Xenopus tropicalis: one gene and its partner. Each later gene encodes a partner of the first gene's protein in a complex. Links are inferred from orthologs where the notes say so. Each region holds a gene or a part of one and is shown in the gene's direction. Other genes may lie near its edges.

Region 1 (5,031 bases):
GGGTCCAATACCTGTACTAACAAACTGCTTTCTCACATGAAATAATTATAAACATATAATGCATGTATTAAAAAATCTTTTTTAATACATCCTAACAACTCCTTACACAAATGGATGTACACATATAATATGTATATCTTATATATACACATGAAAGTTTGCCCAACATGGGATAAAATGTACCTGGGGTTTTCGAAATGTGCTAAACTCCAGTCTGTCAAAGCACCTCTCCCAGACGATCACTTTGGTTAAGCTGGTTAAAAATGGCCACTCGACTTAGAGAAAAACATCATTTCTACAGTGTACCTAACCCCTCGTGAGTCTGGGTCTCCTCTTAATGCACATAAAACATTAATTTTTTGTTGCTACCAGTCCATTAAGTAGGGAGACGTTATTACTGACACCCATTTATTTTAGGTGACTTTAAGGGTCATATCAACCACTAGGTGTGGCTAGTGTATATTAGCTAGTGTATATTAGCTGGCAGAGAAATGCCTAAAGCCACCTTAAATTATTGGGATGGAGTATAGGCAGTTTTGCCTGTTTACCTGCTCACTAAGGGGCTGATTTACTAATCCACGAATCCGAATGGGAAAAATTCAGATTGGAAAACGAACATTTTGCGACTTTTTCGTATTTTTTGCGATTTTTTTCGTCGCCGTTACAACTTTTTCGTAACCATTACGACTTGCGCGAATTGTCGCGACTTTTTCGTAGCCGTTACGATTTGCTCGTATATTGTCGCAACTTTTTTGTATTGAGCGCTCGTAAATGGCGGGCAAACCTTTCAGACTTTGCATGATTTTGGAAGCCTCCCATAGGACTCAATGGTACTCTACAGCTCCAACCTGGCCCAAGAAAAGTCATGATACTGAAGCTTGAATGAATCCGAAACTTTTGTACTCGGCGCGACGGCTCCGAAAAAGTTGCGATAATTTGCGCAAATCATAATGGTTACGAAAAAGTCGTGACAATTTACGAAAAAAATCGCAAAATACCGATCATTACGAAAAAAACACATTCGGAGCATTTGTGGATTAGTAAATGTGCCCCTAAAACTCAAGACAGCACAAGCAGTGCTATTAGCCTATGGAGGCACTATCAGTTCAGGCAGCTGAATCCTTCACCAGAGGAAAGGGAAGGGGGGGGGGGTGACATCACTCCAACTTGCAGTGCAGCAGTAAAAAAAGACAAGTATTTAGAGCAGGGCCACCTGGACTAGTAAGGAAATGGCTAGCCCCATGTGTTATTATTAATTATATAATAAACACGTATTCCCATGACAGTATTGCTTTAACCCATGGTTCAAAAACATAATTTCACTTCTAGCAATAGGTTTCTCTCTCCAAAATAAACCTGATTACTAGGGATGCACTGAATCCAGGATTCGGCCTTTTGAAAATGTAACCTCTCCGTAACCTAATCAGCATATGCTAATGAAGATTTAACCCTTCCATAACCTAATTAGCACCTGCTAATTCGGATTCAGTTAGGTATTCTACCAAACCCTTTACAATGGATTCGGCGCTGATTACATATGCGATCTTTACCACATCAGAAACGTTAGTTATCTAACATCATAACTGGAGTCAAAGCATTTTCCCATACAATATTCCCTCCTATTATCTTCCCAGCTCAGAAATACGCTATCATTAAGAAACCAACGCACACACACACGCACAAAATGAATGCAAACTTCAGATAACGCGCACTTGCTCCTTTCACTAAGGGGCGGGGCTTTGCTCAGTCGCCTAACAATGACGTAGAATTTCCTCGCTAGAGCCGTGGATTTCCTGCGCGTGTGTTTGTAGTTGCAGCGGATACGATTCCAATATGGCATCAGCTTTGGAGAATTATATCAACCGTATCCTTTGTTGGGGTTGTTGGCATAATATGCGGAGGGCTTGCACTGAGAACCTATGGTGTGCGACTTTTAACCCGACGGTCAGAATAAACATGCAGATTAGCAGTCTCCCCTGCTCTCTGAGCTCGGCTGCTACAACTCTCTGATACCGGGGTATTGTGGGAAATGTAGCCTAGCACGGCTTGGGGGCTATTGTTTGGAAAGCGACTTGTGCTAGAGAAATACAGTATGTGGGGGATGCATGTTACTTCATCATTCGTCTGAGGGTCCTAAGTAGCTTTAATTACAGTTTATCGTCCGGTTCCTGTATTCCCTGGGGGAACCCCGACTTACTTATCACAGGGCCAATGTTGACCTGGGCTGTAACCCCTAGCAACCAATTACCAGTTAGCGTCTGTTTTTTTATTTTTTAGCCAGCTGAAAGTATAACAGGTGGTATTCATTTTAAACCTCCCTTTTAAATGAATGCCTGTTAGTGCCCTTTCCCCCTGTAACTTACCTATAGTGTGAAATGCTCAAATCTAATGCGAGGGGATGATATTATACATGGAGTGAGGGGATGATATTATACATGGAGCACGGGTTTGCCTATGTTACATTTGCTTGGCTATATTATTCTATGTTAAATTAGAACTCTAGTAGGAAAACTGCTGTGGTCCAGAAGCACTGACATTCAGTAATATACAGTAATACACTATTGTGCGGCTAGTAGGAAAAGTATTTCATTTTTCAATAAAAAAAAGTGAGAATTTTTCAGTACATCAGTATAGCGTTTTATTACAGGTACGGGGCCTGTTAACCAGAATGTCCTGGACTTGGGGTTTTCCGGATAAGCGGTCTTTCTGTAATTTGGATCTCCTACCTTAAAGGAACAGTAACAGCATAAAATGAAAGTGTTTTAAAGTAATTGAAATATAACGCACTGTTGCCCTGCAATGGTAAAACTCGGGTGTTTGCTTCAGGAACACTACTATAGTTTATATAAATACACTGCTGTGTAGCCATGGGGGCAGCCATTCAAGCTGGAAAAAAGGAGAAAAGGCACAGGTTACATAGCAAATAACAGATAAGACACCATTGTATTCTACAGGGTTTATCTGTTAGCTGCTGTATAACCTGTGCCTTTTCTTCTTTTGAATGGCTGCCCCCATGGCTACACACCAGGGTTTATATAAACTCTAGTAATGTTTCTGAAGCAAACACACAATTTTTACCAATGCAGCGCAGCAGTACGTTATAGTTTAATTTCTTTAAAATATATACATTTTTTGGTGTTACTGTTCCTTTAAGTCTACTAAGAAATAATTTAAACATTAAATAAACCCAATAAGGTTGATTTGCATCCAATAAGGATTCATTCTATCTTAGTTGGGATCAAGTACAAGGTACTGTTTTATTATTACAGAGCAGCCATTTTTAAAAATCGGAATTATTTGATTAAAATGGCATCTATGGCAGATGACCTTCCTGTAATTCGGAACTTTCTGGATAACGGGTTTCCGGATAAGGGATCCCATACCTGTACTACAGGTTTATATAATGCATTAAAAGCAAAAGTGGAGAAAACATTTTGCATGATTATATACAACAGGGGATCTTAGAGCAATAAGCAATATTGGGTACCGGAAGTCAGAGGTATCATAAACTGAGGATTTGTGTACTGACTCCACAGCCCTGGGGGCTCTTAAGCTGAGTGATGTACCCCATTGGGCACTATACAGTATACTGACGATATGCAATAAATAGTAAATTAAAGGAGGGAGGCATCCTTCATTCTAAACCAAATTCTGGGTTACAAAGCTGACTCCCAGAGTAATATAAATTACATGTTAGAAGAGACGGGAATGTAAGCTGCACTTCTGGATACAAAATTGAATACATTAAAAATAATTTTTGCAAACTTCAAAATGCTTTTTCCAACATTATATTATGAGGTGTTGAAGTAGACTTTTTATTTTTTCAAGGATCCATGGTCCAAAAATTCGTAATATTAACTTCACTTGTGGCCCCTGTAGCCTGACTACCCTGTAATGTGTTTTATGCCATTGTCCAACCTTAGAGAAAATGTGAATATGTTGTAGTTAAGGGAATCGCACACATTACAGTAGATGATGCATTATAAAGAACTCGTTTCACTTTGAAAATGGTGCTCTATATTTTTTATGATAACGTTTTACAGATTAAAATAATTCCTTGACATAAGATTCAGGAACTGTAGCTGTAATTACATCAGATGGTAGAATGATTGTGGTAAGTATTTATTTACTTTACTTGCTTAATATTTGCTATTAGAATTACATTCATATATTTCCTCAGCATGTATCTGTAGGTGGAGCCAGGCCCAAGATCCTTTGGAGGAGAATAAGCAAATCTAATGAAGCAGTGCTTCTATCTGTACTGTGTTTTGTATCAAAGTGCTTGGCTAGGTACAGATGCTCATTTTTCACCTTCTGTTGACATTACACTTTGGTCCTGAAGTTCTGGTTGTGGCAAGTTCAACCTTTGCTATAGCTGCATTTTTAAGCACTACACAAAGTGAATGCATAGCCATATCTAGAAGGATTTAATGATCCTAAGGAGCTGCTTTTTTATTTTGCTTATGATGATGTCTTGTCTGGGGCTCAGTGAATCCTGATCTCTAACTCACACTTTATTTTCAGCTGAGTAAAATGTAACATTCACAAAGATCAGCTCCTTCAATACCATATGAAGGGGAGACTCTTCCTCTTTAGAAAAAATTCAAGTATTTGGAATATTGATCACAGGTGATGGAACAGCTAGAGTGTGAGAGTAATGAAAATATTTAGTCAGTATCAGTTGTGTTGTACTGATCTCTGGTAGGAAAGTAGGTGCTGAGGTCTTGAATATTGCTTTTGGTCAATGTTCCCGTCCTCACCTGTAGTCAGGAACTATGGATCCTAAATGAAAGAAAAGGGCCATGGGAGGCTACAATAAGGTCTATTCATAGGGTCTCTGTGGTAGTGTGCAGAGATGTGTGATCTATGATCTATGGGGTGCCTAACATGTTGGCTTTAACAGAGGTCATAGATGTTTGAGGTGATTTGTAGTAGTAACCTTATATTTTAAAGTATAAGTACTGGCATTCTTTATTGCAGAGAGGCTAGATAGAAATGAAATATTCTAATTTAAAAAACAAAAACACACTG
Region 2 (4,840 bases), on another chromosome or scaffold:
CCTGGGAGAGAGGGTGCCAAGTTAGGACCTGCACTTCCATTGCACTCTCCATCCTTCCTGAGCCCAAGCTGTGGGACCTGTGCGCTTGCAGGCTTGGGTGGGAGGGGTAGAGCTACAAAACAACCTGGACAGGCGTCCTAAGGTGCACCAAGTTCCTCCAGTCTCCTTGTCTTGTTTTGTCCTGAGATAATTACCATTTTTAAATGAAAACTGCAATGTCCCTACACAGACCAATATGGAACCGACTTATATGAAGGGTAAATTAAAGGAGACATATTTGATAAATGGGGAAAACCCTAATTTTGTAGGCAATTATGAATAATATACGGTGCTGGTTTCCCTTTGGGCTAAACATTAATCCTATTTGTAAAAATGGCCCCTTTATTGGAGCTCCCTATAGATCCTCTCTCTTCTCTGACCATGTTTGAAATGAAGAGTGGGCGTGTCCTAACGGTCCCTGCAAGAAGCACAGTAGGAGGGGGAGAGCCAATCACAGACCTGCACTCACACAAGCAAAGACAGGCTTCAGTTCCCTATCAGGTCAGCCTAGCTGCTGATTGGTTCCTATCCTACAGTGCAGTGTATAGAGGGCCGCTGGCTCCCCAGCTCATCCAGAGAATTCAGCCAGCAGGAAGTGGAGCAGATGGGGGGGACTAGTGGGGTTTTGGGGGAATTTCTCAATAAATCTGTCTGAAATACAACTTTTTTAAGCACATTCCTTCTATATCTAGAGGAGTATAATTCACTGGCACATTCATAATTTTTATAGGATATGTCTCCTTTAACAGTAACTAGCCCAGGTATGGACAGCGTAACTCCTTTTAGCTATCTCGTAACCCTCATGCCTTGTACCTGGAGTTGGTAATTATTGGTCCTTAACATTACAATTGATGTTTGTTGTGCAAGAACTGATAGTTTGTGTTTGTGGGTCAGAATGCAGTTCCAGCCTCTGTAGTTACACCTGGAATCCAAAGTTGTTTAATAAACTGGTACAAGGGACATTTTCTCTGAGCAGAAGCTCAAAAAGGGCAGGAGGTGGGCAAGTGACAAACCAAAGGTTAGGGATTAAAAAAATACAAAAAAGGGATCCAAAGAACAAGGAGAGATAAATCTGATTCTTGTCTGACTGTCGCTAGTTTGGCCCTAGGTTAGAATTCTGCTGGCAGAAGAAACAATAAAATAAAAAAACATTTTAAGGTTGGACATTACAGATCTAATGTGGAGTGCCTAACCTTAATATAGTTCATTTTTATTCTACTGTTTCATAAACTAATCTATACTTTGTTACACTTAGTACCTGCTCCCAGTTTATAAAACCTGTATTTTTTTTAACGTATTTTAGTTGTTCAGGGATAAAATACGTTTAGGGGACTTCTCAAGAAAGTTACATGAAAAAAATGTTTTCTGTCCTCGCGAGATCATGATTGCGTCATCACCGTGGGACCCATTCATTCGGCCGGTGCCTGAAGCCGGCGCGCAAATTCCTGCTGCTTTAAATTCTCGCGAGATTTATGCAGAGGCGCTAGAGCGGTGAATGAGCGGAAGGCATTTGGTGTGTAGATCTGTCGTTGTCAGCGGCGTCTGTTTTGTTCTTCAGTTTCCAGATAGAGCTTGGGTGGTGCGACTGCAACAGAAGCAATGGTAACCGCTTAAGAACACTAGCGTTCCGTTACTGTTTCACGTTTTGTAGGGTAGAACCTAAGGAGTCGATAGCCATGTATTTTGTGGTGTACCAGCGTATACAGACCTGTTTGGCAATCAGTCCCCCCCCCCTATAGTCGCAAGGTCAGCTTTCTGAGTGGCCATGCCCTGCTTTGACGTTCCATGTTTTGCCTATACCAGGATTCTGGGATTTGTAGTCTTATAGCAGTGGGAGGGCTCGAATTTGGCCATCCCTGCTTTGCAACAACATTTCAATCATTTGTAACCTGATGTTAGTTGGACAGAACAACTTGTCTGTCTCTGTTATTGTTTGTGTCTTATGAGAGAACATGCTTTGCCTTGATCTGTAAAGGATCTTGGCAACATTTGTTATGTGATGTGCCTTGGGTAAGCTACAGGAGAGGCAACTGGTTTTTATAACTACTTGTTTTTATCATGTACAGCTATTCTACTCCTTCTTCAAGTCTCTTGTAGGAAAGGATGTGGTGGTAGAGCTGAAGAATGATCTGAGGTGAGTGTTTTGCCCCATGTTCTTTCTAGAATTGCTTCCCCCCCCCCCCCCCCACATGCTATACAGTCAGGCAAAAAGCTGCCACTGGTACATTTCAAGAACCTAATTTCTGTACTTTAAGGGATGTGACACACGGGGACATTAGTCGCCGCGCAACAAATCTTTCTTGTTGCGTGTCGACTAATCTCCCTGTGTGTCACAGCCCTTAAACCTAGTGCAGTGTGTGCAGTTGTGCTTTCTGCACTTGTGATGTGCCCAACACAAAAGAGGTAAGCACGGTGGGTGCAGCAGCACTTAGAGTCCCCCTGACCATTGTCAAACTTTAGAGGGCAGAGTGTATTGTGTAGACAGAATTTATAAAAACATTTTCTTGTGCTCCTGTAGACTTCACACCCTTAAATAACCACTTCTTTACCATTTAGCCATCTTTCATCCATTTAGCCTTTTGTTGCACTATTACATAAATGGTCTTATCTCTTGCAGTATCTGTGGTACTCTACACTCAGTTGATCAGGTAAGTAACTGAGCAAATATATAAATGTAGTTTATTTTCTCAGCATAATTATCAGCTCAGCCATGTTGTCACTTAAGCCTTGCAACTGAAATTGGCATAAAATCTTTCAGTGCCAGGGAAAAATGTTGGGTTGGCAAAAAAAAAATGAAAAAGTGAAAATTTTCTTTTAAATGACTTTACCATTACTGAAATTTCCACAACGCTAGGTTAAATTAAACCCTAGCAATCAGATAGCGCCTACAATTCCAAAATGGAGAGCTGCAATAAAAAAAGCTAAATTTAATTAAAGACTGCGATAATGAAGACTAGTTGCAAATTGTCTCCAATTATCACTGTCCACATCATACTAAAAGTTCATTCAAAGGTGAACAACCCCTGAAGGGACAGAGCCTTTAATAAAATGTACGCATCCTGCAGAGTATAATGTCAAACCAGGGAATATTTATTAACATAATTACTACAAGATTCTCCAAAGAGAATATTGCTCATATTTTTTTTTTTTTATACCCTAGAGGGCTTGTTTGCATAGAGGAATATCTCTGCTCTACCTGTTATCGTAGTACCTTTTCAGGTGTCTGGTGCTAAACAGTCTGTAGACCCACCTGCCCAGGGTCAAAGATGCTGTAGCACACTGATCCGTTATTGTGGTTGCATTAAGTTGCACCGACTCTTGCAATGTTTTGGGTCACTCTCAGACTGGCTGAAATGTTCCCAGTAGATGTCTGCTAATTAAGCCAATAAATCACTTTATTTAATGTGTGATCAGTGTGCTACATCATCTTTTGCATTCTGCATAGAGGAATATGTCTTGGAATAGAACTTTTGGGGGGAACTTGTGTTTTTCATTATCTCAAACAAGATTTCACTTTTTTTTTTTTTTATAGTATTTGAACATTAAGCTGACTGATATCAGTGTAACAGACCCAGAAAAATATCCACACATGGTAAGCTTTTTTTTTTTTCTTTGTATTTTTTATCTGCACCAGTAAACTAGATACTTAGCTTTTAATCCTGCTTTGAAACACTTGTTAATGTAATTATTTAAAAAATTTTTTTTTTAGTTGTCTGTAAAGAATTGTTTCATTCGGGGATCTGTGGTCCGCTATGTACAGCTCCCTGCTGATGAAGTAGACACTCAGCTTCTCCAGGACGCTGCACGGAAAGAAGCTGTACAGCAAAAGCAGTGATGTACAAGAGCTAGAAGGATGGAAGCAGGTTCACAAGCAGCACTAGGTGTTGTCAACTGCCTATATTTCTATAAGGCCAAATATAGGAGTGAGCAGCAACTTGTTACCTGTTATACAGGTTTTGCATTACATTTCTGTAAGAGACCCACACTTTTTTTTCTCATCCTAGTTCTGGAAACTTTTTTAAGTGCAGTGACTTGTGTGTTCACTTTAGAATCCAAGCAATGCATTTTGCTCTGCAAAGAAGTGGTCTCAGATAAGCAGAGTTAATTGGGAAAGACTGCCCTAACTTTTTTTTTTTTTTACTTAAATAAATTTTGTGTTAAGTCATCAGCTCATGTTTTTTTTTTTTTTTAGTGAAGCTAGTTCCTTCTGTTTGTATCTGCCTTTCTTAATTTTGTCGTAATATGATTTTTACTGGTTTAATTTTTTTTTAATATGCGTATGGTAAATTTAACCCATACCCTGAATTTGAAAAATCAGAAATTTTCCACATTGAAGAACAGAAATTTATAACATTCTGTTGTCCAGAGCTTTAAAGTCATATGACTTATACCACATGCATAAAGCAGAGTTTTTATGAATTGCTAAAGTGCAAAGACCTTACTGGCCTACATAGAATCTTTACCTAAGCCCAACTGAAATGCCAAATGAGAATCTACCTTTCTGTTTGTCTGTGTTTGGGAGCATAACTAAATGTGTGCAGTGTTTAACCTTCTAGTGGAAAGCCCTTCTCAGCAGCATCCAAGCCCAAGACATTAACAGAATCTGCCATCACAACATCACTGTTCTTACTGAAAAACCACCTACGCTGCTTCAAATGAAAGTTAATGCTTGCACACTTTTTAGAATGTTATAAATACACCTATTCTAGGCAACTTTTACATTATTTTGTATGGTTTTTATTAGCCTTTCTGTTTTAGAGTGCAGCAGACAATGTTTGAATCACTGACCCAGATGGGCTAC

What was found. Proteins that work in one complex are often made in the same cells at the same time.
Region 2: lsm8 (region 1) and lsm2 share a complex: the UniProt entries of both Homo sapiens proteins name them as parts of the precatalytic spliceosome. The link is inferred for Xenopus tropicalis from reciprocal best matches to the Homo sapiens genes LSM8 and LSM2.

The regions. Positions count from the first base shown.
Region 1 is NC_030679.2:68,679,933-68,684,963, forward strand, and holds the start of lsm8 (LSM8 homolog, U6 small nuclear RNA associated), read left to right. Parts: upstream 1-1,707; 5' UTR 1,708-1,833; coding exon 1,834-1,864; intron 1,865-4,073; coding exon 4,074-4,114; intron 4,115-5,031. UniProt on the Homo sapiens protein: Plays a role in pre-mRNA splicing as component of the U4/U6-U5 tri-snRNP complex that is involved in spliceosome assembly, and as component of the precatalytic spliceosome (spliceosome B complex).
Region 2 is NC_030684.2:75,102,555-75,107,394, reverse strand, and holds lsm2 (U6 snRNA-associated Sm-like protein LSm2), read left to right. Parts: upstream 1-1,500; 5' UTR 1,501-1,638; coding exon 1,639-1,641; intron 1,642-2,105; coding exon 2,106-2,173; intron 2,174-2,656; coding exon 2,657-2,687; intron 2,688-3,571; coding exon 3,572-3,631; intron 3,632-3,748; coding exon 3,749-3,874; 3' UTR 3,875-4,207; downstream 4,208-4,840. UniProt on the Homo sapiens protein: Plays a role in pre-mRNA splicing as component of the U4/U6-U5 tri-snRNP complex that is involved in spliceosome assembly, and as component of the precatalytic spliceosome (spliceosome B complex).